2 linked regions of the Ovis aries genome follow. The protein of the gene in region 1 purifies or fractionates together with the protein of each later gene. This does not show direct contact. Links are inferred from orthologs where the notes say so. Each region holds a gene or a part of one and is shown on either strand. Other genes may lie near its edges.

Evidence for each region.
Region 2: the proteins of STX6 (region 1) and STX12 purify together in Homo sapiens (affinity purification with mass spectrometry; 4 studies listed by BioGRID and IntAct, counting the BioPlex papers as one, with this or other methods). This does not show direct contact. The link is inferred for Ovis aries from reciprocal best matches to the Homo sapiens genes STX6 and STX12.

What each region holds. Positions count from the first base shown.
Region 1 is NC_056065.1:61,535,927-61,540,317, forward strand, and holds the start of STX6 (syntaxin-6), read right to left. Parts: upstream 2,815-4,391; 5' UTR 2,588-2,814; coding exon 2,553-2,587; intron 1-2,552. UniProt on the Homo sapiens protein: SNARE promoting movement of transport vesicles to target membranes. Targets endosomes to the trans-Golgi network, and may therefore function in retrograde trafficking.
Region 2 is NC_056055.1:239,301,015-239,304,829, reverse strand, and holds part of STX12 (syntaxin-12), read left to right. Parts: intron 1-1,359; coding exon 1,360-1,459; intron 1,460-3,815. UniProt on the Homo sapiens protein: SNARE promoting fusion of transport vesicles with target membranes. Together with SNARE STX6, promotes movement of vesicles from endosomes to the cell membrane, and may therefore function in the endocytic recycling pathway.

The sequences.
Region 1 (4,391 bases):
ATGGACGCCACATGTGACTGCCGAACTACACCAGCCTGACTGTGGCACTAAGTTTTAAATTTTAATTAATTTAAAATTTAAAACTGATACTCAAATGCACTTACCAAAAATTTTAAAAATATACTTGGAACAGTTTGGGTATGTGAATCTACTTTTTCAACTGTAAGTTTAACGGATTCTAAAAACAGATCAAGTGTCTCTGATGAAAATTCAGCATCCAAATTGAGATGTGCTGTAAGTGTAAAACACACACCAGATTTGAAGACAGCACAAAAAGGGTGAGAGTCTTCGTTAATAATCTTTATAATTATCATGTTGAAATATTTTGACTATATCAGGTTATCGATGACATTAAAATTAACTTTACATGTTTTTCACTTTCCCTGTGTCTACTAGGAAATGTAAAATGGCATGTGTGGCTCACACTGCATTCTGGAGAACACTCGTCCAACAAAACCAAGGCAGACGCAAGAGGAAAGAGACTGGAAGCAGGAAGACCAATTAGAAACTCTTCTTGATGAGTCCAGGAAAGACACCCAGGACTGAATCACCTAAGTGATACCCATCTTCAAAACCCAATTCAAGACCTGCTACTACGTCCAAAGCTTTTCCAATTGTAACCTGTCCTAATGGGATGCCTTTCTCCAAACTACTAGGGGACTTAATCATCTGTAGGATTCACTTCAGCACTTAACCATTTCCACCAGTCATTTCTACTTAATTATTGGGTGACTTGTTTCTCAGATTAGACTACCAGCTCCTAGGCTAAAGGTCACAATTTAGGCTTCTTTCATTTTTCCACATCATGCAGTGAGTGTATTTTCAAAACTTTTAATAAACAGAGGTACATGGCTCCCCATATATTTCACCACATTATCTGGAGACATGTAGTTAATTTTACTTCTCCATAGCAAAAGGTTTTAATATCTTAAAGATATGAGCTAAAACAATGTACAAGTCAAACAAGACTCCTGACCAATGTTCCAATAAAGCAGTGATATCTAATCAGTGAGCAAGCCCTGGCAAACTGTACTATCAGGAAAAAAAGTCAAGATGGCAGAGCAATTTAGCATTTTCACAAATTCCATTTTAAAATGAAACAAAAAATTTTGATTATCTACAGCCTCCACTGCCAGACATAACCTTTGAAACCTAAGAATTAAGAATGTTTAAAGGAAAAACACACAGCTTTCACATTTAAAAATTAACCCCTAAAAAAAAATCAATTCTTCTAATAACATTTTCCAGGTAGAGATCTATGTATTATTAATCATCTAAACTCAGATTTTCCCACCTAAAGTCAGGTAAAGGCAAAAATATTTAGGGAAATGTTAAAATATATATAAATGTATCTTACTGTATCATGGATAATAAAGTATTTCACCTAGAGTATCACTTAAATTTTCTTAGAAGAACCTTTAAAAAAAAAAAAATCACATACACCCTCAAGCAACTGGTCAGCTTTTACCCTTACAGAAATAGAAATAGGGAGCTAGGAACTAGCTGAAAGCAAAGCAGTACTTTAGGGTGATTAGCACTGATCTCTCAGGAACTTTGCAGTTCTCAAATTTTTAACGTGTTTGACATTTAAAACAAAAGTTGTAACAACAAGATCCATCTTCCCTGAATTTGTTTAATGGCTACAAAGCCTATGTAACAGAGTGCCAAGTTTCTGGGTATCTGCAAACAACTGAGCAATCAAAGATGGAGTCACGACAGCTCACAGAGAAAAATAAGTTTAAGGCTATTCGAGTCTGAAAGGCAGAGGAAGAAATGGGGGAAACCTGTCAAACAGCCTGGATGAAATCAGGGAGTTAAAAAGCAAGCGCTCATTTCCTTTAGCACTGTGGGAAAAACCCAGTGCTAACAGAAAGCTAAGGAAAGTTTAGTTTGGCTGATTTCATTTTGTTTTCCTTCCAACATCATCACTGAGTTTGAACGGCTGCTTTCCTCCCCTCCCATTACTCAGTAAAAACTCCCCCACTGAATTGAGTCGTCTTCCGGAGCCAGGCGCCCCCGCCTCCAAGCCTGCTAACGTGCTCAGACGCCTCTGGGCATGTTGTGGTCTCACCAGTCTGCGGGGCCAGCGCTCCGAACTCAATGGACAATAGGAGCTCACCCCCGTCTACGCCAACTACAAAGCTCAGGAGGGCCATTTCCCTTTTCCTGCCCAGATGCTGTTTTTCCCCCTTCGAAGCAGGGCCCCGTGCTCCACTAAAGCCCCAGTTTGGTCTGGGACGCCTAAGCTCCCTTCCCACCTGCAGAAATGCTGAACCCCTCCTCCCGTTCAAACAAGTTATAGGGCAGCGCACAGGCCAAAGGGGACCCCCTTCCCAGGGGCTTGACTGGGGGCGTGGGTTTCAAAGTTCAGGTAGGACGGGAAAGGGAGGTCTCTGGACACTTGATCATGGCCCTCCAGGCTAAGCCGTCCCCACTGTCCCCACGCCAGCCTCTACTTGCCTCCCATCCCCCCTACAACGAGGAGAGGCGGGGAGGTGCGGGCAGGCAGCACGGCCACCGCCTCTTCCAGTGGAGCCCTCGGCAACACTCACCCTTTCACCACAAAGAAGGGGTCCTCCATGGACATGGCGTCCCGGCCCCCGGCCGCCTCACGTTTGCTCCGCGCACAGGGCGCCCGCGCCCTCCAAATTTCCCTCTGCCCACCCTATGCGCCTCGCGTAGCGGCCCGCGCCTCGGCCTGAGGGTCCCGAAGCCTCTGCGCGCGCAGGGCGGGGTGCACCGGCCAGCCGCTGGTCCAGCACTCGATGGGCACTGCAGACCAAATCCAGACTCTGGAGCCGGCCCCGCGGCTGTACCCTCCCCCGACTCCTCCCGGAGCGTCCGGCCGCCTGGCTCCGCCCCCAGGTTCCTCAGCCTCGGCCAATCACGAACGCCATCCGCCGCACCACTTCCGCACCCGTGCACACGTGATCACTGCCGACCCCGCCCCTCGTTGCCGGGTCCTAGGCACCTTGTCACACGACCCTGGAGGCGGGGCTCTGGGGGCGGCGGAAGAGGGCGGGTATTCTCTCCACTCGCCCCTCAGGATTCAGGGGCCGGAGCTGCTTGTCCCTACGCGGGAAAGGCATTCAGGTGTCCTAGGTATGCATTAGTATCTCCTTTGCATAATTCTTTCACCTTTCCTCTACTTTTGATACTTGATTTTGAAAACATATTGATTTAGAAATCCATCTCGTCCTCCACTTACAATAAAGCCTGCTCGTATACATTATCTGACTATATTGCACAACTTTATGTAGGTCTTACTATATCCAACAATGCGCTGAAGGCTGTATGTACATCATCTCAATATTCTTGGGGGGAAGGTATTATTACCATTTAGTAGATGAGAAAAGTTCAAAGAGGCTTCGAGATACAACCTGGACAGGGCAATCAGAGAATCTGTGCACTTTCCACCAGACGGCTGTGTTTTCTATTGCTGTGTACCTTTCTCGAAGTGACCAGTAAGATAATTTTTTCATACAGCATGTGATGCTTCCCAGGAGAAAGAACTTTTGAGGGACAAAGGAGGGGCCAGATATGGCAACTTCTTCTGAGCTAAATGGTTCAAAAGCACTTCCCAAAAGTATTTTGGTCAGAACAGTTATCAAATTCATATGCTAGATATGCTATGGGGTTTGTGAACATTAATTGCTGATTATCTTTGAGCACTTCCTGTATGTCAGGCACTGTGCGAGTGTTATCTCAGTTGCTCTCAGGAGGTAATTACTGTTGTTATCCCCATTTTACAAATGAGAAATCTGAGACTCTTGCAGGTTAAGTGACTTGCTTAAAGTACCAGTCTTTTTGGAGATGGAAGAGTCCTTTGAACCAGACAAATCCTGTTTGAACCTGAGTTCTGTTATTCAGTCCCTCATCTATAAAGCGTGCACAATAATATTTAGCTTGTGGATCGTTGTGAGGGTTAAATAAAAATGCACGGAAACCCCAAGGCCCCAAGGAAGTAAGGCAGTGAAGTCAGGGAAACTAGTCTGGAAGCTGCTGTGGTCATCCAGCCTGAAGGGCTGAGGACCAGAATAGGACAGCAGAGCAATTGTAAATGGAGAGGAAGCAGACAATCTGATAGGTATTTCCAAGGAAAAACAAAAACACCTAGACGTGGTGAAAGGCTGAATGGGGTTAAGGGGGAGAGAGGTGAAAATCAGACTCCAGGCTTCTCTGAGACCCTGGAGGAGCAGCTGAAGGAGGTCAGATGTAGGGGAAAAGAAGCTGTTGGAAGAGAACTGTTTTGCTTCTGAACATATTGAGATGGGGAACTCAAAAGGGATCAATCATTTTTCATTCATTCAACAAACACATGGAAATTGCAGAGAAGATGAGAATAAAGATTAAGAGTCATAGTTGCAGCCAGACTGTGCTCAGTCACTCAT
Region 2 (3,815 bases), on another chromosome or scaffold:
GATCTACAGTGCTTGTCTAATCTGTTGGATTTCCAGCTGTATATAATATTAAAGAAGTGTATTCAGAATGACCCGAGGAGAGAATAGTGGAATAGCTTCTTTTTATTATGTCCTCCTTGACTCTGTCTCTGCTCTTATAAGTTCTAGTTTTCATCGTTAACACTATTTTTGTTTCCTGTCCTAGACATTGGGAAGTGAGAGAATCACTTACTGTTAGTACTTTGAGCTTTTTTGAGGGAGACGTGAGGTAGCTGTGGGTATGTTAGTACTGTCCATGATGCTCAAGCTTCGGATTGACTCTTTTTGGGAGCTTTTGTTTTTTATTTTATTGTTGTTATTTTTTTTTGCTATACCATATGGCTGGTTGGATCTTAGTTCACCAAGCAGGGATTGAACCCGTGCCCTCTTCGGTGGAAGAGGGGACCACTGAACCACCAGGAAATTCCCATTTTTGTTTTTTGGTTTTTTGACTCCCTGTTGGTTTTGACTCTCATGGTTTAAAAAATTTTTTTTGGTTTTGCTTTTTTTCTTTTTCCTTCTATCTTGGAGACCCCTTTGCAGTGAAAAAATATTAGTAATTAGTAGTGTGGTTTCTCTGTCCTCCCTTAAAACCTTTGCAGAAATGGCCAGATAGTAGGAGAAACCATGACTGAAAGGAATCTTTTTTGTATTTCCAGTACCTTTCAATCCCACACATTTTTCCCTCTTTAATTTCCTTTCCCCTCTGCTCCTTACTTTTTTTTTTAACACAGTATAGGGCTTCTTTGTTTTGGAGGAAAGAGCCAGAAAGTCAAGCATAAAGCATAGGTAGGGAGCCAAGGATAAAGCTGAAAAAGCACCAGCTTTAAGCACAAACGTGGGAGTTGATCTTCGGAGGTTGTTCCCTAGGGTAGAAGCTATGCTTCTAATGCACATTTCATCCAACCCCCAGTGCGTGGATTCTGTCACTAGTCAGTGGACTGTGACAGACAGTAACCATGCAGAACTTGGGCAAATCAGCGTGAGAATTTTCAGAGAGAGTTCAGCATGTTAAAACTATTAGATTGAGGTGTAGGGGCAGCTGCTTTTGTATTTCTATCAGAACTGCTGAGAATGCTTTTCTTTTCTCCCCAAAGAATTAAAATACCTAATCAGCAGTTTTCATTGAGGTAGGTTCTTTCTACTCGGTAACGTGAAGACAACTTGAAGTGAGTTTGACTAGGTGGTACTTTTGGAATTTTGTTATGAACCTGAGCATCTGGGAACCCATTCCTTCAGGTGCCTTTTCATTCCCTGCATCTTGAGATGCTCTGAGACCAGACTGATCCTAACAGCTCTCAAGAAGTGAGAATATCCTAAAGCACATCTTTTCTCTCTTAGGCAACAGTTACAACACTCTACAAATCAGCTTGCCAAGGAAACAAATGAATTACTGAAGGAACTGGGGTCCTTGCCCCTTCCTTTATCTACTTCAGAACAGGTTGGTATTTTCTGGGGTTTTGATTTATTTATTTTGAATAAGAAAAATATTGTTTTTTTTGGAGAGGCGGCATGTGAAACAAACTTGGCCTTCAAACTGAACCTCAATTTCCTTATCCATAAAATGGATAAGTATCTACTGTGACAACAGAAAGAATGCATGTACCAGATCTTGCAAGGTATTAGTAGGTACTCAATATGGGTAGCTGCTGTGATAATTAGCAATAATATATTAATATATTAGTAAAATGGGCTTAACTGAAGAAGAATCTCAGTGTTTACATCTTACTGGGATTTGATTAGCAGCTTTATGCTTTCTGGCTTGATTCTAGTGTGCTTGTGTCCAGTATCTATAAATTTCAAGCAAATGTCTTTTTTTACTTTGCAGTCACTTTCATGTCACGTTTTTGTAGGTTTCCAGTTAAGGAAATGCTCTGAGAAAGATTTCTCTACTCAAGTCATTTTCTTCAGTGACCATTTATATCCTTTAAAGACACAGTTTCTATTGGAATTCAATGTTCCCTTGATATGCCATGCCTTTCCTTCACTTGTTCTTGAAGTCAAATGTGTCCCTTCCATTGTAGCTTGACTTTTTAACCTACTGTTCACGGTCTGCCTCACATCCTGTCTCTTCTAGGACAAAAATCTTCTCTATCTTAGACTATTGTGATTTTATCTTGCTTTAGTTTCTATACCATTCATGGGAGCACTTAACTTACATTGTTTTTTATTAGTGAATTTTTAAAAATAATATTTCATCTCTGATGGCTATAAAGATGAAGCCTACCATTTCCCCTTCCTGGGTTGTCTGTGAATTGTAACTGTTGGAACATAATATAATTTTAGTGTATTGTGATCACCATTTAAAAGAAATGAAACAGAATAGAAACATCAGAGTGTGTAACCATGTAATTAAGGGAAATACTGTTACATGAAACTTTTGTTTCACACATATGTGTATATATGATGCTAGGTCAAGATGTCACATTTTTATTCTGGATCTCCATTTAAAAAGTTTGAAAATTGTCAGTTTAACTCATTCCTGGCAAGGCGTTTAATGAAGTATGTGTTCAGTCTTTGGATTTTTGGCCTCCCCTTGCACAAAAGAAAAGAACCAAAACCAGGTGCTTTGTCATCCTGCTACAAAGTAGTCACCTTAACATAATCACCCTTTGACTGCCTGTGTGCTGTTTGTGTTGGTTGTTTCTCATACTGGACCAGTTCTCCTTGCCATTCATTCTTTCAAATTGTTCCCAAATCACCCCTTTCCTCTCCCAGCTGTCCACATAGGGAATACACACTTGTAGATAGTTTTAGCAGTAAAAAAAAAAAAAAAAAGGGAATCTAAGAGTCTGATGTCAACAGAATGTGCTGCAGTCCACGGGGGTCTCAGAGTCGGACATGACTGAGCAGCTGAACAGTAGCAAAGTGTTAAATAGAAGCATAAGCAAAATAGAAAGTTCAATCTGCTTAAAAAAAACTAATATATTCCAAAATCAAATAGAAATTATTTTTGGATTATGCATCTTCTTGTTTCCTTCCATTATCTTGGATCATTCAGTTCAGTTCAGTCGTTCAGTCATGTGCGGCTCTTTGTGACCCCATGGACTGCAGCTTGCCAGGCTTCCTTGTCCATCATCAACTCCCGGAGTTTACTCAAACTCATGTCCATTGAGTCAGTGATGCCATCCAACCATCTTATCCTCTGTGGTCCCCTTCCCCTGCCCTCAATCTTCCCCAGCCTCAGGGTCTTTTCCAATGAGTCAGTTCTTCACATCAGGTGGCCAGAGTATTGGAGTTGCAGCTTCAGCATCAGTTCTTCCAATGAATATTCAGGACTGATTTCCTTTAGGATTGACTGGTTGGATCTCCTTGCAGTCCAGGGGACTCTCAAGAGTCTTCTCCAACACCATAGTTCAAAAGAATCAATTTTTCGGTGCTCAGCTTTCTTTATAGTCCAACTCTCACATCCATACATGACTACTGGAAAAACCATAGCCTTGACTAGATGGACCTTTGTTGGCAAAGTTTGAATCATTAAGAACATAAAACAAATCCACAGAGGTATTATCTCTGGTGAAATATAAATCCTGGATTCCCTTCTTCCTATTGTGCTGAATATTCTTTTCCTTTTCAACTGTTTCTTTATCTAATTAACCTTAGCCCTGTCACTCATCTTTTTGCTACTGGACTATCAAACCATACATCGTACTTTCACATTTCTTTCATACTTACGCACTGTTATCAGTGATCTTCTAATTGCCAAATCCAGTGGAGGTTTTTTGCATTTTTATTCATTTCTCTTTGTTTTATTTGATCCTCCTGTTCATCCTGTCTTTACTGAAATTTCCTTTTTC